2 linked regions of the Coturnix japonica genome follow. The protein of the gene in region 1 purifies or fractionates together with the protein of each later gene. This does not show direct contact. Links are inferred from orthologs where the notes say so. Each region holds a gene or a part of one and is shown in the gene's direction. Other genes may lie near its edges.

Region 1 (10,354 bases):
AGAGATCTCAGCATGGAGTGTGCAGCCCTGTGTGTACGTGGGGGTGTTGGGAAGCTCTCAGGGTCGCCATGTAGGTGCATGCAGAAGTGCATAGCTGGTTGGGGTGTCACAACATCATCCCCAAGCCTGGCCCACTTGCTTCATCTCCTGGACTGGGAGCTCTGTGGGCTCTTAGGGATGGGATCTGTCCAAGGGTGCACTAAGGAGAACACAAGAATCAGATCCCCATGTCCAGCCCCACCCTGCCCACTGACCTCCCTCCCAGTGCCACATCTCCATGGTTCTTGAACTCCTCCACAGCCAGGCGCTCCCCCACCTCCCCAGGCAGCTGTGCCAACACATTACCAACAGCTCTGTGGCTCAGCACTGTCAGGCATTAGCATCATTTTTGCTGTGAGGCCAGGGATGGGCAGGGAACAGAGCTTCTGCCCTTTGCTTCACTGACTATGGCAATTGCTTGCAGGGGAAGATGGCAAATCAGCACACCGGCGACTGGAGGAGACCCTGGACAGCCTCCCCCGGATCTTTGCACCAGCCAGCATGGCCAGCACAGCTTTCTGAGATGCCGCACGGAGCCACCTGCTATCCCTTGAGGACAAAGGCACTGCTGGGCTGCACACGGGCTCACAGACTGGGCCCAGCCACCGGCCCTGCTCACAGCAGCACCGCAGCATCACGCTCGCCGCGGCCGCACACTGCCTTATGGAGCACCGCTTCCCCTGCCCCAAGCACCAGCCACAAGGGGTGCCACACATACACCCCTGTGCGAGGAGGGGCTCGCTGCACACCCCAACCCTTCGACTGCTATTGAAAACACACAGGGAACCCACCCTTCGTGCTACAGCTGCTGGGATCGGAGCGGCAGGGAGACGCACTGGATTCCTCCGCCTCTTGCCTTCCAGTTGCTTGGGGACACGTGCCCTGTCCTGGAAGGACCAACACTTTGGAAGCGATGCTGTTTCTTTCCAGAAGTCGCCTGAGCTGGGAAGGAACTGCTGCCCCTTTTGCCACACCTGGAAGTCCGCAGGACTTAAATAAAATGAGATATGAGATAATATTAATATATTCTGCTGGCGTTTCTTCTTTCCAGCTCCGCATGCTCCTGTCCCTCCCCATGTTGGAGCACAGTGAGGCACAGCCCCAGCCCAGAGCCCTTCCCCTCTGCTGGGGAGGGCAGGGGCAGGAGGAGCGACAGAGGGACGGACAGATGGACACTGCCACCTTTTCCTTGTTGGTTTATTTTTTATTTACTGTTTTTTTTGTTTGCAGGAGGAAAGCAACAAATTCTTTTTCTATAATGTCTCTATAAATCTATATATATAATGTAATTACAGAGAATGACTAATTTTGATTTTAAAAGCAGAAATAAAAGCAAACCTTTAAAAGAGCGTTGGTGTTGCGTGGGTGCCGAGGGGCAGGGAGCTGGATTGACCAAGTTGGATGTTTCTCAGCTGAGGATCAACCTTCTGCTTTTACCAACAGTGAGACAGGCATCTCTCGTAGCAGTGAAAGGAGTTCTTGCTTCCCCTGAGCTCTCTGAGTTATCAAGATGCTGCAGAGCATAAGAAGGTGCCATGCTGCAATGGGCAGAGCAGGGTCACATACTCAGCACAGGGAAGTCCTGACCTGCCCCAGAGGAAGGAGGCAATGGCTGGAAGTGAGAGCAGTAGGACTGTGTATGTCTCATCACAGTGATACTGAGCCACAGCGGATCAAGGAATTATGGAGTTGAGCTGGGAAGGGACCTCTGAACACAGTGAACACAGCCTTCCATTCCCCCCTGCTCAATATGGTGTTAGCTTGAGCAGGCTGCTCAGGGCCATGTCGTGTTGGGTTTTGACTGTTTCTGAGGATGGAGATGACAGAATGCTGCTATACCACCTGTTTCAGTATTCAGCCACCCTCACAGGAAAAAAGCATTTCTTTAGTTTAAATGGAAATCCTGCATTTTATTATCACTATGGCTCTCATTCTGTCACTGGGTGCCGCTAAGGAGAATCTGCCTGTCTTCTTTACCCACCACTAAGTGTTGAGAGACGTGGATAAGAACCACTCCAAGCCTTCATTCTTCCAGCCTGTTTTTTATATGGCAGATGCTCCAATCTCTTAATCACCTTAGCAGCCCTCACAGTTCTGAGTAGGATAAAGCAGCAAAATGCCCCATCAGCCAGCAGAAGCAAGGACCCCTGGGGCCAGCAGCATCTCAGTGGGTTTCTTAGCAAAGCCCAGCAGCTCGCAGCCTCCAGGACCTCTGTTCTTACTAAAGGTCCTTTGTCAGGCTGCCTCAGACTCCATGTTCTTATCCTGCTGGCTCTGCCTGCCTGCGCTGCCCTCACAGGGGACCCAGAGGTACCAAGGAGCTCAGGCTCTTGGGTTGTTCTGTTTTGGTAGGGGGCTGCAAGTGGTGGTGCATTGTAAGAGCATGCAAAAGGGATGACAGCATACCATGGCACACAGGGTGCCCCAGATGGGACATCTGCTTCCTTGTAAGGAGATAGGAAGCACCATGTCAGCAGCAAGGGCACCCAGGCATCTCTCATTACTGGGGTGTGCTTTAGTACCATAAGCCTGCGAGGCCAGGAGGCCACTCAGGGCAGCTCTTTTCAGCTCTCTGCCACCCAGGTCTGTGCTGGGTACCTGGGACCCAGAGTGAGGATAGGGGTCTTGGCTGGCACATGTTGGGTAATAGCTGTGGACAGGAATACCCTGCAGGTAATAAGTGGCCCAGACTTCTATGTTTGGCGTTCTTTCTTTTTCCCTTGACTAACCTCTGGAAATAAGAACAGCTCAGTGCTCCAGCAGCTTATGTGGGTGTTCTTGCTCTGCCAAAGCCTGGCCCCATCCCTGCAGCAGAATACCATCTTCCAGGATAAGCTGTACCTTGGCTGCAGAGACTGGAGCAGGGAAGCAGCCTTCTGTCAGGGCAGGCAGGGTGCTGCACGTCAGGACAAAATGACTCTGCTCCTGGAACTCATAGGAATAACCTCATTTGTGTGGCTTTAACATCATCTAGGGGAAAAAAAATAAATATATATACATATATGAGTCAATTTAGGAATGCATTGCCCAGCCCCTTGTTCTGAATGAGCTTGCAATAGCATCACCAAGGATGCACTGGTGATGGGAAAGGGAGGACTGAACTTTTCCCTCCAGCCCTTATGCAGGAATATGCACTGTGCAGCAGCATTCTTGCTGTTTCAAAGGAGACAGTGCTCCAGCACCATGTCTGTCAGCCCAATGTGTCAGCACTTCAAACCCCTCTCACGGATGTGCTGCTCAGCAGCACCAATGACTGTTGCAGCCACTTGCTTTTTTGCAGGAGCTGCAGCCCGTGGGAAGGTGTCTGTGTCATGGTTACATTACTCACATGCTCTGAGAAGCTTTTTCCTTCACCCCATTTACTGCTGTTTCCCTTGTAAATAAAGGAGTGCACAGCCTTTTTGTACCAGCAAATAACAACCAGCCAACACATCCTCTCTTTGGGGAGCATTAGGGCTGGCAAAGCTCAGGACATCACATTCAGTGACCCCAAGAACACCAAGCAGAACAACCCCAAGGAGCCGCTGCCTCTTTGGGGCATCACAAGCTGTGACCTGAGTCTCAAGCCTGAGAAATGAGCCAGATTTTGATGCCTGAGCAACATCTGCCTCTGGGTGTGTAACGTGGAGGGTGATGTTCAGGATGCTGAATGCATTGCAAAGGATCCCATGCGAATCAGCTCCAAAGCGCCTGTGATGGAGGGACCCGAGGCCCAGGGTTCAGCCGTACCCAGCACACAGCGGTGGATGCTTTCAGGCATCTCTGCCAAGCAAAGGCCAGGAGAACGTGTCTCTGCTTCCTCACACAAAGGACATGCAGCACCTGCCATAGGACAGCTCCCAGCAAGAGGCAGATGGAACATGAGCAGCCAGTTACTCCCGACGTGGTGTGTGTGAGTACTTAGAGCCCTTGCAGGGCAGGGCCGTGCTGGGTCCCAACCCATCTCGCTCTGTGGAGAACTCCGCACTCCCTCAGGGCGGGGCGGGGCGCGGCCTCCCCTCAGCGCGACGTGACCCCGCCCCCACGTGACGCACGCACGCACACACGCACGCGAGGTGACGCCGCGGCCGCAGGCCCGCGTTTGAAGTTGGCGCGCGCCCCGCCCCGCCCCTCCCTCCCATCATGCCCCGCGCGCTGCCGCTTCCCCGCGCGCGCCGTCCCCTCCCCCCCCCTTTCCTCTCCCTCCCCCCCCCGCTCCAGCCGGCGGTCCGCGGCAGCCGCGCTCGCGCATGCGCACTCCGCCCCGCCCGCCGCCATTTTGTGTCCGAAGCGACTGTGGAGCGATTAAACCTCGAGCTGGTGCTGGGCGCGAGCGGCCGGGCCGCGGCGGGGCGCGACGGGAAAGGCGGCTCGGCGGGGCCCGGGCCGGGCTGCGGGGCGGCGTGCGGCGGGGCCTCGGCGCCGGGAGCGGAGCCCGGCGGGGGCGCGGGCGCAGGTAAGCGGTGAGCGGGGGGTTTGCAGTCGCTTTCTCCGGCCTCTAGGTGTCACGATGGGGCTCCGCGCCGGCTGGGGCCCCGCAGCGGCCGCCGCCGGGGAAGCAGGGGGCTTTGTCTCCCTCTATCGTCCCCAGCGCGGCCCGCGCCTGCCCGCTGCCACCGCCGCCGTTCCCCACAGCGCGGCGCTGGGCCGCGGCCCGCCCGGCCCCTGGCGGCCGCCTATTTTCCTCCCTTTGTCTCCCCGCCGCCCCACCGGGGCCCGCCGGCCGCCCCCCTCCCGCCACGCGAACCGCCGCCCCCCCCCTCCCCCCCCTTCCCTCCTTTCTCCTTCCCTTTCCCTCCCTCCTCCCCTCCCTCCCCGCCCCGCGTTCCGCGCCGGCCCGCTCCCCCCGTTCGGCCGCTCTTGCTTTTCCCCCCCCCATACCCCCGCCCCCGCTTCCTCCTCCCCATCTCCCACCTCCTCGGGGCTCTCTCTTTTCTCCCTCCTCCAGCTCCTCGTGGGGTTTCGGAGCCGGAGCGGAGCGTTGCGGCGGTTCTGTTGGCCCGGCCCGGCCCGCAGCCCCTTCCTGCCGCCACCTCGCTGCGCTGCCGCCGTGTGCGCTGCGGAGGGAGAGGCGCTGCGAGGCGCAGAGCGGGACTCGAGCTCCCTCTGCAAGGCAGGCTGAGCAGCGCCATGCAGCGCCGGCCCTGGCACGGCTGGGGGGCGCCCGCTCTCGCCTCGCTGCCCTCCCGCTTCCCCCCACCCCCCCCCTCCTTGCAGGCCTCGGCTCCGAGCTAGAAAACGTACTGCAAAATGTGATCCTCCACCCCCCCCAACCCGTGGATATCGCTGCTTTGAATCGTACAAAAGGGGCGATAGCACACAATTCTGCGCCCTGCATCAACTTGATGTTTCCTGCCGTGCTTAGAGCTCCAGATGCCATCAGTCTGCCTTCATTTTGTTCCTTGTGGCCGTCCCCAGGACTCAGCCCTTAGCACTGCTGCTGAGAGCACACCCGCTTTCCTGTTGCTGACTTCCTATTTTTTACCCGGTCTTTTGCTCCCCCCCCCCCCCCCCCCCCCCTCCACTCCCTGTTTGCTGCCAGTTGCTAATGAACCCCAGAGGTGTTGTTAACAGTGCCTGAGCTGCTCCGTGTGTACAGCCTTGAGATTTGGTTCCGTGCAGGAAGTGTTTAAGTGCTTTCTCAGGTCCCACGCTTTGCTCGTGCTGAGCCTGTTGAACTGGTGGCTGTCTTTTGGGCATGAGGAGTGGCTCTGAATTCTTCCTTCAGTCCCATTTTACCTTCTATGTTAGTGCAGGAGAAACCATGAGGACCAAAGAAGGTCTTGAGCATATGAACCAAGCAATGCTTTCTTTTTTTTCCATAGGATGGTCGTTTTTCTTACTTTCATTTTGCTTTTCTCTTTGGACTGCGTTTTGCAAGTCCTTTAAGGGCTGCACTCCTGTTTTGGAGAGCTCCTTGAATGCCTTTGGATGGGGGCTGTCACCCCAATGGCAGGTATGGCAGCACCTCCAAACTATCAGACACCATAATGTAAGAAGGACTCTGTCTCTATGTCCCCTTGCTGCCCTATGCAATTTCAGTTGGATACAGTTATTCTCTTATTAGCGGCACAGCTGTCCAGGGAGGTGGTGGAGCCCCCAACCTTAAGGTGGTCCAGAACCACGGGGATATGGCACTGAGGGACGTGATGCTGTCAGTGTGGATGGATTGAGGTTGGACGTGGTGATCTTAGTGGTCTTTTTGAACCTTAATGATTCTATGTTTCTAACTCAGTATTAATATCTTCTGTATTTATAAGGAAGATGCAGCGAATGATTTCCTTAACGCTCACGAAGCTCCTCGCGGGATATTTTTGAGGCACGACGTCAGAGTCAAAAGGTGCAGAATTGCACTTGCTCTACTCCCCGGTGGCCCTGCAGCTGAACTAACATGGCTCAGGGAGTTTGCTGAGCTGTCACTCCAGTGCTGAGCCTGCTGCAGCTCCTGCCCACGCCGTCAGCAAGGGAAAGAGCTAATCCAGGCACAGCTCCTGGTGCTGGCAGCCTGTGCCTTGGCTGTGAGCTGGGATGTGTGTTGCTACCAGGCTTTGTGGCTGCGGGTCAGTAGCTACCTGATACTTCAGTCTGTAAAGGCCAGAAGCTGACCTGTGTTGTTTGTATACTATTAATCACTTAAGAATTTCTTCCCTGTAGTGCTTAATATCCTGCTTTTCTCCTGATGGTTTTGGAAGGGAGGTGGGGAGTGTTGCTGGGCTCTTTGCTCTTTGAAGAGCCAGCGTGTTCCTTGCCCTTATGCTCTGTACCTGGGCAGATTGATCACTGCTTGTGGGATCGAGTTGTGCTCAGCTCTTCCTGCTCTGTTTTTGGTTTGTTGGTTATTTCTGAGGGGAAAAGAAAAAAACCAAAAGCACACAAAGCCATAACCTGTAATTTGGGCAGGGAGAGAACAAGGCCAAAGTTACTGTTGCTGTGCAAATGAATGAGGGGCATCACAAGTACTGGAGAAACCAGCACTGAACATTGTATAAAGGAAGAAAAAGCAAATTCCTTCCATGCTGCTGCTTTCTCCTCTGTGTGTCTGCAAGGGGGGTTGTTCCCTGGCCTTGGATCTGGCAGAGGTGTAGCTGAGAGCCCACCAACAAGCCATGCATTGAGGTTCAGGGCTTCTCCTGCCCTTATTATAGTCCTAAAAGCTTTGCACACAAATTGATTCTACCTTTGGCTACTTTTGCTTCTCTTACGTAGTGTTTAGTAGAGATTGAATGCTCGAGAGAGCAGCAGAGCATTGGGATCGCTGTGTGCTCTATAAATCCTTAACCATGAGGAGCAGCCACAACCACAGCAGCATGTGGTGTCTCAGCTGCTGGGCTTCTGCTTTTGCTGTGGAGCTGGAAGCAAGCACAGTAGTTGTGTTAATGTACTGACCTGTGCTCAGCTGCAGGCCCTGTTGGTTGCTCTGGAAGGTTTGGATGCCTTGCACAGCCTGTTGGACCAACCCTTGGTGCTTCAGTACAGCTTCTACCTAATGCTGCATGAGCTCTGCACATAGATATGTGAATATCCCTTTTTATATTGGTCAAAATTATATTTACTGCTCATGTAAATGGCTCAGATCACTGCTCTTGTGGCTTGTTTTTTGGGGCTGAAACTTAGAACCCTTCCTATATGGACTGTAACTCAAGATGTTGCTTTCTTTTTGTACTGAAGGATGCTCTGGTTTCAGTTAAAGCACTGCTGCTCCTCCTCCTCCTCTCCAATTATCTGTCACTCTTCAGCAGTTGTATGGCGTGTGCTTATTCTAGGCATGCTTAATAAGTAAACCAAATAGCTGCTGGGCTCAGTGATCTCAGTATTTTTTTGGTTAACAGAAATAACCTTGGAAAGGAGAGTAGAGTACACACGAGGTGGGTGGGGAGTTGTATTTTTCAGCTCGTGTTAATGTTCAGGTACACTGAACAATCCAATCTCGATGTCTAATGCAAACAGAAGTCTTCTTTCAGTATAAAGACTTGGGAGAGATCAAATCTTAATGTCTTTCCAATATGGTTGTTAGCGGGTGAAAGCACAGAAATAGCACAGAGGCTGTTCTCAAGAAATGTGCCATTAACATGCATCACTCGGGAGACGTGTGATAGAAAAGGATCTTGAAGAGCTGTTCTTCAGCTGTCCCTATAGAGGACTGTGTATAACGCTGTCTCTTGGCTGTGTGTAGCTGCACTCTTTACATACAGGTCTGGTTTTAGGGACCCTCCCAGGTTTTACTCCTTTAGGATATGTTTGCTGCCCTGGGAGTGCAGGCAGGGACTGCAGTGCAGCTGGGTGCTGCCCTTGCTGCCCACATACATCCTGTTTTGTCACTGAGTTGTCCCAATCCCCTTCATTCCCTGCTGCAAAAACAAACCCCTAACATTTCTAAAGCCACTCAAGTGTAAAGGCCACATAAAGAGGCTGTGAACCAAGCTCAGTTAATACTTAAAGTCTTATTTTACCTCTTCTTTTCTTCCCAGAATCTAGAAATTTATGTTGAGTGCATCAGATTCTAACAAAATGGAAGCCAAAGCACAGCGTGACATATACCTTTGTCTGTATTAATATGCGTGAAGATTAGAAGCTTGTATGTCTCTGAAACATCAGCAGGTAAAGCAGCTCTGTGAGCCAGAGGAGAAGTAACATCTGTTATATAACTGGACCGAGTTACTTTACCTTAATTGGGAAGTCACAGCTATGCTTATTATCCCTAGAGGTATTTAGAAATAGGTTGCTGTTCTGAAAGCTTCTATCTTAAAAAGCGGAGGGATTTCAGATGTATGTTGGGATGGGGATGGCCAGCACATTCCTTCCCACTTGGATCACTGGAGCATCCCTGGTGGTACCAATGAAGGGCTACTGGGTAGGTGAAGCACTTTGGAATAGCAGAGAAAGTGCAGGAAATTGGAGGAAATGCTGATGTGTTGGTATAAAAGGAGGCAAACTTAACCAAAGCTTGGTAAGTTCAACTTTGGTAAACCTGTCTTGAGAACCTCACAGAATGAAAACCAGTGCATAAAATTAGTGACTGCTGTCCAGTTTGGGTTAGTTGAGGAATAGTCCTTGTCACTGCTTTCCATTACTGATTCTTGTTAGTACAGAATGTCCAGTTTGAAACCTACGTGTGATAAAATGGTGATTGATGGCGTGGCAGCCAGCGATAAGGCAGTGAGGCAGAGCTGAAACATTCCAAGTGTGTGTCAAAGCTGCAGCGTGTAAAACTGCCCATCTGGGAGCGTGGCAATGTGGTGAGTTTGAATTGAGACCAATGGCATCCTAGAACACTGTGTCGGAGCTGTGTTTTGGGAGTCAAGTGGATAAACAGCTTAAATGTGGATTTCCAAGGTGATGCTGCAGCAGAGAAGCTAATGTCGTTGTCAGGTGCTTTAATGGAGTGAGCAGAGCTGGCATGCTTACCTGTGAGGTGAAGTCACTACCAAGACACAGAATATAGCTCTGCTGTCAGAACTTAGAGCAAAAATAAGGGAACAAATACTGAACTGCAAGGGGAAATAGACTCCCAGGGAGCTGGGAAATGGTGCTGTGCAGTGGAATGGTGCTTCACTGTGCAAAACCCAGAGGTGGTTTGATCAGTCCTCTGATATCCCTGCTACTGTCCTGCCAAGGAGACCAGCCAGCTGCTTTACTCTTGTTGGCACGTTCAACAACAAGAATTTGTAGGCAGATGGATTCAATGCACGTGATGTAAGTTGTTTTCATAGAGGACACGATGAACCTTTGGGCTGTGTGATGGAGAAATGCACCACTGTTCTTCCTATTTCTTAACGTCTTTGCATTGAGATTGGCAACAACTGGAAATTATTTCAGTTCAGACACAACAACAGGTAATTTCAAGTTATGATGATGCCCAGAGATGGGAGTATTTGACTCTCTGAGCTCTCCTGTGTCATGATCAGCCCATGACAGCAGGCTGAGCTGTGAAGATGGCTGTCATCTCAAAGTGCTTTCCCTGTCTTACATGCATTAAAAAGATGGGAATGGGGAAGAGTTAGCTTGAATCATTTCAGCTGCAGAGCAAACTTGAATATAACCCGTGTGGTCTTCTGGCTGGTAGCTTCAGTGCTTCTCAAGCTCGAGATTCTCCTGGCTGTTTGTATGAGGCCAAGCAGGGTAATTCAAGAAAACAAGTGCTTTTCAGTTTTGTGGTTTGTTGGTGGTTTTTTTTCCCTTCAGGATTCCAGGCTGTGTGCAGTGGTAGCTATTCTGCAGTGTGGTTTCTAGCACTGAGGCCAGGCCTGCTTTTTAGGTGGACACAGTGAGTCCTGTGGTGAGCCCGCGGTTGGTAGGAGAAGGAAACAGAGGAAATACATCCCAGCTGATAGAGATT
Region 2 (10,604 bases), about 15 Mb from region 1:
CAATACCTCTTCACCAGGGAGCAGCTGCTAGAGAGGATGTGCATGGCACTTGGAGGGAGAGTGTCTGAAGCCATCACATTTAACAAAGTCACCACAGGTGAGAGGACAGACCCTGACACGAGCAAGGGGAGGTCGTACTAAGAGTCTGAACTTTCATACTTGTTGCTCTGTCCAAGAGTAATGTGAAATGGGGGTTTCCCATCATTGGGAATGGGAAGGAGAAATTTCACAGTGCTTGTTTTAATCTCGGACTTGGGACTGTGAGCGTGAAGGCCTCTTATTGTGGATTCCAACTGTGTAGTCTCAGACTTGTCCCAAAGCCTGAGGCTACAGATGCAATTACACAGTGAGACTCTTGGCAGGTGGAAGAGCCTGGAGATTTCTGTGCCTTAGTTCCAACCATTTATAGCTAAACAGGATAAGAGTGGAGCAGTGGCAGGTAAGCAGTCCATATGAGCTAGCTACCAGTATATCACTCATTGTCCTGCAATGCACACAGTGAGGTAAAGTGCTCACATTCATGGATTCCTGCAGGTCCTCTAATCTCTTGACTGGTGGATTGTGTGTCTGTGCTGGACATACTCCTCTTGCTCTCATCTCAGACCTGCTGTACCTTCCTTCTGTCTGTCTCGCCCAGGAGCGCAGGATGACCTGAAGAGGGTGACCAAGATAGCCTACTCCATGGTGAAGCAGTATGGGATGGTGCCCAGCATCGGGCAGATCTCCTTTCCGGATGGGGACAGCACTGTTGGAATTGGCCGTCGCCCTTTCAGCCAGAGCCTTCAGCAGATGATGGACCACGTAAGGCTGCTCCTGGTCACCTGTTCCTCTTTGTTCTTTACTTTCTGTCCTCATTGAAAATTGCATGGAACTTGTACCCAAATGCTTTGCATTTTCTTTTTTGTTCAGCCATTAAGTAGTAAAATTCAACAACTGAGCACTGAGATACTCTGTTAGCCTGGTACTGTTCTGTGTATGAGGACTGCTCAGCGAGGCATTAAGAACAAAGTCACACACAGCTGTGAGTTCAGCCCAGCAGCACTGCGCTGCCTGGAGCTGCCGTGAGTGGTTGTGAAATACAGTCTGTTCTATCCATTGCAGTGTGAAAGCTGCAGTCTTGATTCTTTTGTGGACAAGACCCTGGAGAGCTTGTGGGAGGTATAGATGTGACTTGGAAAGGGGGAGAAATGCTCTGCAGAGTGGGGAGAAAGAATAACTTGAAGGAGATGGAGCTGGGGGGGGAGCATTGTTATGGAACTGAGGACAGATAACCAGGGAAGGAAAGGTTCTGCTGTGTGGAGGTCTCTCCTCCTTTTTTGTCCACTTGCAATACAAATCTCTCTTCTTATCTTCTAGGAAGCAAAAGTGCTGGTGGCTCAGGCCTACAGACGCACGGAAAAACTCCTATTGGACAACCGAGATAAGTTGCAAACGGTAAGCTGAAGTTAGGTGGAGTTCCTTCAACTGTTGGTTTTGGCCTTGATACTTTCTGTGCTCTGTAGCTTGGTTGTAGCAGTGTCTCTGTGGTCCTAGAATGCCTTGTAATGGGGATTCCAGGGCTTGTTTTGGGACTGCTGAATTGGTAGACTGGTGCTTTCCAGGTACCTCCAGGCAATTTTCACCTGCCAGCTCCTTGATACTCAATATATGAAGGAGGCCTTATTGCAGAAGTAGAGCTTTGTCTCCTCTGCTTTGTGCCTGGGGAGTCCCCTGGCCACTCAGCTCCCTTCCAGGATCTCTTTTTAAACAACAGCAGAAAAACAGCCACTTCCACCTACCCACCAGCAGGCTTCCTTGTGCATAGTAAGGTGTCCTGAACTTGTTTGCTTCGGCACCCTGCTGTTGCCCATATCACAGTTCTGTCCCCAGGGCAGTGCCCCAGCAGTGCTCTGAAGGCAGGCATTGTTGGGGGCTGTCCTCTCTGCAGGCCTCCTCTGTTCTGATGCTTTCATTTAACAACAATCAGATGTTTGCTAGAGGCTCATCACAGGAAAAACTTTTAAGTTAAGCCAAAATATCTACAGAGCGTTGCATTTGCCAGGTCAGTGTGTCACATCTTGTCAGCAGAACTGAGCAATTCCATGTTTGAGGGCCACCTGCTGCTCAAGCGTGGTCCTTCTGCTGGCAGAGGGACCAGAGAATTTAACTTTCTGGGGAGGACCTTCTAATGACCTTCAGCCTGCAAGAACAAAACAGCTCTTTGTTATCTCTGTGTCATGTTATTTATGTACAGAGGAGTATGAGTCTGGCTCCAGTCTCAATGCCTGTTACTGTGGCATCTTAGGCAAGGCCACAGGTGCAGCAACAGTGGCAGTAAGGGCACTTCTCTAATTGCCCCTGGTGTTCCGACTCTCCAAATCATTCCCTAGAGCAGCGTACTTTATTGCCTCCAGTTACACTGGGTGTTTCTGGCAAAAAAAGCCCCACTCTTGTGAGAGATGCTGGTGTCTGCAGAGCTTTGTTCTGCTCCAGGTCACGCTGTCTGTGGTGTGGTAGCCGGGCTCTGCTCCTCGTGGGCTCCAGCATGTGCTGTGTCCAGATGTTAAGGTCCAAGTTGAGCTGATAGGGTGAGCTCAGATCAGTTTTCAAACCTCTGTGCCTTATTATGCCTTATGTACTCTTTCTAGCTGTCTAATGCCCTGCTGGAGAAAGAAGTGATAAATTACGATGACATTGAAGCTTTGATTGGACCTCCACCCTATGGGCCAAAGAAAATGATAGCACCCCAGAGCTGGCTTCAAGCAGAGAGAGACAAGCAAGACACTAGAGATGAAGAAATGCCCCAGCAGCCACCAAACCATGAGGAGGAGGAAGAGCCGCGCCTGAGGCCGGTGTGAAGCCCTGTCCTGGTGCAGAATGGGAGGACTCCAGAAGCGTCTTTTGAACACAGCTTCTCAGCTCTGGAATCAAAAATAAAGAGCAGGGCATCTCTGTGATGCTGTTTCCTTGAAATTAAAGGAATGGCCACGTTTAGTCTTGTAACACAAGCTTTAACCTTCAGGGAGGAGAACTTAGGATTCTGAAATTGATTCTCAGCAGGATATTAGTGATTAGGAGTTGGGTAAGAAGCTGGAAAGAACCTGTTTACACAGGCAGTGTATGCCTTCTTGTAGGATGTGGGCTTTCTTTTCCCTGATTGATAGTTTCTGTTCCATTTTTACATCAAGGGTTTCAGAAGCAGAGAGTGAGGGAAGCTGTGTTCATAACCCAGCAGAACCTGATGGTGAGTTGTTCGGAGCCAGCACTGCAGGGAATGGCTCCATTGTGAGCTGGCAGAGCAGCGCTGCTTGTTTGCAGGTGTGAGTCCTGGGTGCATCTACACAAACCAGGCAGTTCTGCTGCCTGTCCTCACGGCATTGCAGAGCACGCAGTGATGGAATGGTGGGCTGCTGTTCAGCAGGGGAAGCACTGAAGTGATTCTTGTTGCCTGCTGTGCTCCGGCTGGGTCAGGCCCTTCAGGAAGGGTTCTTGAATGGAGCTGTTCCATAAAGAACTGACTGAGCTGGAGCTGAGCCCTCCCTTGGGGGCAGGGAGGAGGGTGACCTGCATGGCACTGAACACAGGGTGCCAACATGGCCCTGCTGGGTGCCCATGGTTTGGACACTGCCCTGTTGAGCAGAAACAGCTGGGGATGCTATTACACCGAATTGTTGCCCATGTTGTTGTTGTTGTTGTTTCTTTCAGGCCTCTGTTTCCTTACAGGAGCTCATTCTTTGTATGTGTGTAGGAGCTGGTTCTATTTGTAACACGATGCCTGAGCTCCGGGCTGCCTCAATAAACGCTGTGACACACGGATGCCGGTTGTGGCTGTGCTGATGGCGCTGTGCCGCTGCTCCCCGTGCTGCCGTGCCACCTGGCGGTACTGCCCTGCAGGGTGAGGCTGCAGCGGGTCCAACCTCCGCCAAGGTTGGGTGGTGGCTGCGCTCAGTGCCGTGTGTGCTGCTCTGGGTGGGAGCCGTGGCAGCAGCACCGAACCCGCTGCCCACTCGCGGCGTGGGGTGTGCGGTGCGGTAAGCAGTGCGCGGCCCCTTTAAGATCGCCGCCATCTTTACTTCGGGTGCGGTGAAGCCGCTTCCGGACATTTCCGGAAGCGTGGTTCTCATTGGGCCGTACGTACGGCTCTCCCTATTGGCCGCTGCTACCACACTTCCGGCGTGCGCCGCGCCGCCGCTTCCTTTTCCGGTCGGCCATTTTCCTCGGCGGGAGGTGAGTGTCGCCGTGTCCGCGCTCGGGCCGGGCTCCATCCGCCGCCATCCGCCGCCATCCGCCCACCGGGGGCCGCGCCGGGCCCGGCAGCGCTCGGGGGCCGCTCGTAGCTCTGCTCCGGAACCGGGGCGGCTCGGGGGGATGGGGCAGGGCCGTGAGGGGGGCTCCGATGGGGGCTGGGCCTGGGCCTGCTCCGGGCCTTCCCCGGCGGCCTCGTGTAGCGCTGCCCGTGTCCTTAGGCCGCAGCAGCCATGGCGCCCAGCCGCAATGGGATGATCCTGAAGCCGCACTTCCATAAGGACTGGCAGCGGAGAGTGGCCACATGGTTCAACCAGCCCGCGCGGAAGATCCGCAGGTGAGAGCAGAGCCGAGCTGGGCCGGGTGGGGCCGGGTCCCTCCTCGCGTTGTTCGGCCGCAGCCAAGTGATGAAACGTCTCCGGAATCGCTGTACGGCATTGATGAGTCCTCGAACCCTTCATGGCTGATGGCTGCGGTCGGGGTTGTCCGCAGGGCTCTGTCCCTGCAGGGGGACACAGCGATCTGATCCCTGCCATCATTCCGTGTCTCTGACCGCTGTTCCCCCGCAGGAGGAAGGCCCGCCAGGCTAAAGCTCGTCGCATCGCCCCCCGCCCCGCGGCTGGGCCCATCCGACCCATCGTCAGGTGCCCGACCATCAGATACCACAAAAAAGTTCGTGCTGGAAGAGGCTTCAGCCTGGAGGAGCTTAAAGTGAGTACGGAGAGCTGATGGTCACTGATAAGACTCACCATGGACCTTCAATTGGGTTCCATCTGAATGATGGTTGAGTCCAGCTCTGTGTCTGCCTGCGTTCAGCAGCTGTGGGTTGGGGGAGGAGTGATGTGTGTCAGCTAAAGGCTGGTTTGAAGAGGGAATGTTGCTGTGCCTCTGATTGGGCTGGCAGGTACCACGGTTTGTTTAATATCACATTCAGACACAGCTTGAATTGAGGCTCCTGAACTTCACTTTAAATAAGCAAGCAGCTTCCGGTCACCTTAAGGGCTCCAGCACCATCACCTGCTTCACACTGTGTGCTGTGCTCCCTGCAGTACATGCTGGGCAGCCTCCCCTGGTGTCTTGTTTAGAATCTAATAAGGACACAGCAGTGAAATTGGTGCATTAAAGCAGTAAGATTGGGCTTTTAACGCCGAGTTCCTCGTTACTTTGCTGTTCTTTAATCTCGGGTAATGCTGATGGCAGCACAAAATGGCACAGGGCTGTATGCAGTTAAACACAAAGCAGGGCTGTCACTTAGCATCACCAAAGTGTTTCTGTAATGCAGCGCTCAGCATTCTGTGCACCACGGTTATCCTTGTGCTGACTAAATCACTTAATCCAGTGCCTGTCAGAGCCTCAGCACCCCACTGTATCTGCGCAGGAAACCCATCTGTGTGTGGATGGCTGCCTTGCCTTGTGATCAGCCCCACGTCATGGTTGCTCTGTCCTTCCCTCCAGCAGCACAGTGGTAACTGCTGGCTCTGCTCTCTCTTTAGCTGGCCGGCATTAACAAAAGGTTTGCTCGGACAATTGGAATCTCCGTGGATCCCAGGAGAAGAAACAAATCCACAGAGTCACTGCAGGCCAACGTGCAGCGGCTGAAGGAATATCGCTCCAAGCTTATCCTCTTCCCAAGGAAACCGTCTGCACCTAAGAAGGGAGACAGCTCAGTAAGTACCTGCCTGTTAGAAAGGTGTGACAGCCCGTTTCTGCTCACTGCTGCAGAGGTTTGGCCGTCAGCCTGGCTGTGTTCTTGAATACTTGCAGTAACACAGACCCATAGCAGCAGGGCATGTTGGTTCCATACACGTACACAGGGGGTGACTGCCCGCAGCTCAGGGCTGGGGGGGCTGGAGCTGGGCTCTCCCTGGTGTCTGTGCTGTGGAATGGCTGGGGGTGCTGCACTGCTGGAGCTGCAGCTCAGACGTGGAGCTCCCCAGGTGCTCGGTTTTGGCCAGCTCACTATTGGTTTGTGAAGCTGGAACAAAAAGGTTGTGCGGGGTGTCTGCTCTGCTGCAGTTATAACAATGGGAAGAGTGGGGAAGGCAGAAGCTTCTCAGTTGAGCGAAAGGAGCAATTAGAGGAAATCTCTAGAAGGTTGTTGCTGTTGACATACAAAAATGGTTTTCATTAAGATCTCACCGAGAGCCAGAGTAGAGTTGGCTTTTCTCATGTTCTTGGCTGTTGTTACAAGCACACGCTTCCCACGGGGAGCTGCAAGTAACGGAGCCAGGCAGCGTGTTCCAGGCAGAGCATTGCAGCCGCCTTTAGTCCTACAGAGCCCTGTGTGCCCTGAGCTGCTTCCCATGGTGCTGCCTGCAGGGCTGGAGCTCGCTTGGGCCAGAGCAGGGAAAGGGGGGGGTCTGACAGAGGGTCTGAGCTCATACATGTCCTGCTTGGACGTGGAGATTGAGCTGAGTGTGTCAGCTTAGTAAATCCACAGGGTGCTGCTCTATGGGGGGACTTAAGGGGCTGCAGGGAGGGCAGACCTGAGCATTATGAATTCAGAGCTCCTCCTGAACCTCGGGTGCTGATGCACAAGATGGATCTGTTCCCCACTGCTGTGGGTAGCTCACAGAACGGCTGCCAAACGCGTTCTATTCTCGTTTAAAATTGGCTGGCAACACAAACCTGTGCCTTAGTGAATTGAGCGCAGCTCTCAGGTTGTCTGCTGCAATCTGTTTCTGATACCGGCAGATAAAGATACTTGTCTATGGAGCGGTGTTTCAAACCTATTTACTCGAAGCTCCCGATAGCTGATTTATTCATGCCTGTCACTGCCGAGCTCGCAGCAGAAGCTGGAATTGGCTGTGGAAGGAATTGCTGAAGGAAAGCTAAAAATGGCCCAGGACACAACAGCATTTCAGCTGGCAGCTCCTGAACGGCCACGGCTGCCCTGGCCAGGACGGTGTGCGGGTCTTTCATCTCAGTGCTGCACAGAGATGTTACATTCCTGTTCCTGATGTGTTTTTCCCCCCTCCCTCTTGTTTTGCAGCCTGAAGAACTCAAGATGGCAACTCAGCTCACCGGGCCGGTTATGCCCATCAGGAACGTAAGTGTCACCCTCAGTCTTGTTCTCTGTGGGGTGTAACAGAGCAGCTCCCCACAACCAGAGTCCTGTGGGGCTGGGGCAGCTCCTGCCTGCCGTGCCCATAGCCGTGCCCATTGCCATCCCCATTGCTATCCCCATTGCCGTGCTGTGTGTCCGTGGTGCAGCTCATTGGGCTGTTGCTGAGCTCTGAGGCTGATGCTGGCAGCTGCTGTTGCTGCACCACAGCCCTGGCTGCCGCTTCATTTTGCCTTTGGTTGTGCCTTGTTGTTATTCCCTGGTATTCTCTGCTCGTCTTGTTGACAAATAGGAGCTGGTGGAGACTTGGTGCCTGCTGCAGTGATGATAAGGGCAGGGCCTGGGGGGTGGGCACACAGCCTGTGTTCTTAGCAGCATCTTGGAGCCGGTGGTAGAAATATAACGAGATTAATTGTGTTGGGCTTTGAGCGCGGCCCCTTTGGCAGCCCCTGATGTGTGTGCTGACTGTCGGGCTCTCTCTGCCATTAGGTTTTCAAACGGGAGAAGGCCCGTGTTATCACCGAGGAGGAGAAGAACTTCAAGGCCTTTGCCAGCCTGCGCATGGCCCGGGCCAACGCGCGGCTCTTTGGGATCCGAGCCAAACGAGCCAAAGAAGCAGCAGAGCAGGACGTGGAGAAGAAGAAATGAGCTGTACTCAGAGCTGTCAATAAAGAGACACGGAAACAGAGCGGTGTGTGGCGTCCTATGAGGGGTGCAGGTGTTGCTGCTCCAGAGCTCAGCCCTCCTGCTGTGTGGGTATCGTCCCTGGGGGCAGCTCTGCAGGGACGGGCACTGTGGGGTCTGGGGGGGTTTGTTCTCTGTGCTGGGTGTCGGCTCGGGGCTGTGTTTGCTGCCTCCTGCCGCTGGGTGGAGCCGGGGCCGGTGTTCGGTGCTGTGGGCGCTGCCGGGACGCTCCCTATTGCGGTTCTGCTCCTGGTGCTGCTCTGCCGGGCCTTTATGGAGCCCCTAAAGCTCAGAACAGCCGCCCCGGGGCTCGGTGCAGCTCCGTGCCAGCCGTGTCCCTCGGTGCTGACCGTGCTCAGTCACGGTGCCGTGGGCTCCTTCCCGCTCCTTGGAGCCCTGGGCTGGCTCAGCAGTTCTAAGCTTTGCTGCCCAGCCTCGTGATTGAGCCGTCAGCTCATGAGCTGAGCGATGGCACAAACCTGGGCTGGCAGCAGCGTTTGGTGCAGGTATCGCTGTGTGCTGCCGGAGGGAGGGTGGCCTATTTCTGCCAGGCAATGTGGGATTAGCTCCCGCAGCCCAGGCCCCGCAGTGCCCTCCTGCTCGTTTAGCCCTCTCTGCACTTTAATCCCCTCTGAATATGGGCTAATTATATCACCCTTCCTAAAGCTGCGCTGACGGCGCTGCAGTGCTGGGGGCTGTGGGGGCTGCAGGGGGGCATCAGACCGGGGGGCCATGGGGCTGTGGCACCGGGTGACCCGGCATCACTGGGATCCTTCTGTCTGTCCCTGTAGTGGGGGGATCACGGGGATACGGGGCTACATGGGATGGGCCTTGGGCACCCTGTGGGGAATAGGGATGGACCGTGGGGTGTGTGGGGTCAGAGCGGTGATGGGGAGGAGGCTGGGGGCGATGCTGGAGCTGTGGCACTGCTGCAGTGCTGCCAGCTGTGCCAGCTGTGCCGGGGACCCCTGGCAGCCTCGTTGCCTGCGGGCGGGCTGCGCTCCGGTGCCGGCAGCGAGGTGGTTAACGGAGATTGTAGTCTCCCTCTTAGGGCTCCGCTCCCGAATTGCAGCTTGAGTCAGTTGTGTGGAGGTGGCAGCGGCGCAGCTCGGCTGGCACGCGGCTCCGGCTGCCACACACCGGCCGCAGCATCATCCGGCAGCGCTGAGCCCAGCACCAGGTAAGGGGTGGGCAGGGGGGGCACTGGGATCCCTTTGCTGGGGGATGCGCGGCCGTGCTGGGATGGTGCCCAGCAGAGCCAGGAGTGAGAGCTGTGAGCCGGGCAGGGCATGGCCCTGTGTGACTTGGGGGGAAACTTGGGCTGGGTGGCAGCAGCTCCTGGCATGGGATGGGGCAGCGGGCAGAAGCTGGGTGCTGTAATTGGGGACAATGGGGATGAGATGGAGGAGATGCAGTGAGGGAAGGATGGGGATGGAGTGGGGATGGGGCGGCAGATCCGGTGCTGCAGCACCACCAGGCTGAGCCCTGCCAGCATCCAGGTGGAGGGTGGCTGTGTGTCCCCAGCGGGGCAGAATCCCCCCATCACCCTGGTACACCAGCAGTTCTGCTCAGTGACAGCACGATGTGGCCAACTGTGCTTCACCCCACGCTGTGCTGACACCTCGCAGGGTTCCACGGGACCAGCAGGACCGGCCGCTTCACCTCAAGGAGAGTCTGTGTGCTCCCCAGCACCCGCCCTGCCCCAGGAGCCGGCTGATCCCCAGCAGCACCCAGCCTCCATCCCACACCTGGCACTGCGGGGCCCCCCGCCTTGGGATGACAAGCAGCTGCCCCATGTGCTGACAGCGGGGCTGTAGGGCTGCCCGGTTCCCCACATGCCTCTGTCCCACGGAGCCGCCTGCCCCCCATCTCGCCCGGCTGCCTCCCGCGCTGCAGCCACCATGGGCGAAGCGCCCGAGCCGTCCTCGCAGGCGTCGCTGGCCGTGCTCTCCAAGGTGGAGCTGCGGGTGAGCTGCCGGCACCTCCTGGACCGCGACACCCTCAACAAGTCGGACCCCTGCGTCCTGCTGCTCATGCAGTCCCAGGGCCAGTGGGTGGAGGTAGGTGGGGTGAGGTGAAGGGATGGGGATTGGGGCAGGGATGGAGCCGGGGTGGGTGCGGTGTCTGTGGGATGGGAGCCAGGCGTGAGGTGCGGGGCATGGAGTGGGTGCAAGGTGCAGGGCATGGGGTGGGGTGAAGGGTGTGGGGAGCAAGGTGCAGGGCATGGCCCCATGGCAGGGTGCTGCGGGATGCTCGGGTGGTGCATGGGGACAATGCGGGGCTTTGGCTCGGGGCGAACCTCCTGGTGCTCAGTGGCTCTGGCGGCACCCAGGAATGGGGTGCACACCGTGTGTGGGTCACGGGGAGCTCGGCTCCTTCCTGTGGCTGCCCCCCAGCTCAGCTCCTGGCTGGCTCTAGCGGCTCCACGCTCACTAATCAGTGCTGCTCAGCCAGCAGATTTAGCATGAAATCCCTCTGCATGTAATTGACTCTGGGAGCCGGAGCCAAAGCCAGCGGTGTGGGACCCTCCATGGGATGCAGCCCCCTGTGCAAGGTGCGGCCCCACTGGTGCAGCTCTGTCCTGTGCCCGCTGGCAGCTCTCTGGGTCCAACCAGCCCAGGACAAAACATGC

What was found.
Region 2: the proteins of CTCF (region 1) and RPL13 purify together in Homo sapiens (affinity purification with mass spectrometry; 3 studies listed by BioGRID and IntAct, with this or other methods). This does not show direct contact. The link is inferred for Coturnix japonica from reciprocal best matches to the Homo sapiens genes CTCF and RPL13.

What each region holds. Positions count from the first base shown.
Region 1 is NC_029526.1:1,459,570-1,469,923, reverse strand, and holds the start of CTCF (transcriptional repressor CTCF), read left to right. Parts: upstream 1-4,425; 5' UTR 4,426-4,474; intron 4,475-4,932; exon of another isoform or gene 4,933-5,169; intron 5,170-6,290; exon of another isoform or gene 6,291-6,358; intron 6,359-10,354. Other genes in the region: RIPOR1 (rho family-interacting cell polarization regulator 1), read left to right, coding at 464-561.
Region 2 is NC_029526.1:16,692,361-16,702,964, forward strand, and holds RPL13 (60S ribosomal protein L13), read left to right. Parts: upstream 1-4,079; 5' UTR 4,080-4,206; intron 4,207-4,445; 5' UTR 4,446-4,457; coding exon 4,458-4,561; intron 4,562-4,629; exon of another isoform or gene 4,630-4,711; intron 4,712-4,793; coding exon 4,794-4,935; intron 4,936-5,717; coding exon 5,718-5,891; intron 5,892-7,216; coding exon 7,217-7,273; intron 7,274-7,777; coding exon 7,778-7,936; 3' UTR 7,937-7,976; downstream 7,977-10,604. Other genes in the region: SPG7 (paraplegin), read left to right, coding at 1-97, 638-801, 1,357-1,434, 2,628-2,837; CPNE7 (copine-7), read left to right, coding at 9,808-10,032. UniProt on the Homo sapiens protein: Component of the ribosome, a large ribonucleoprotein complex responsible for the synthesis of proteins in the cell.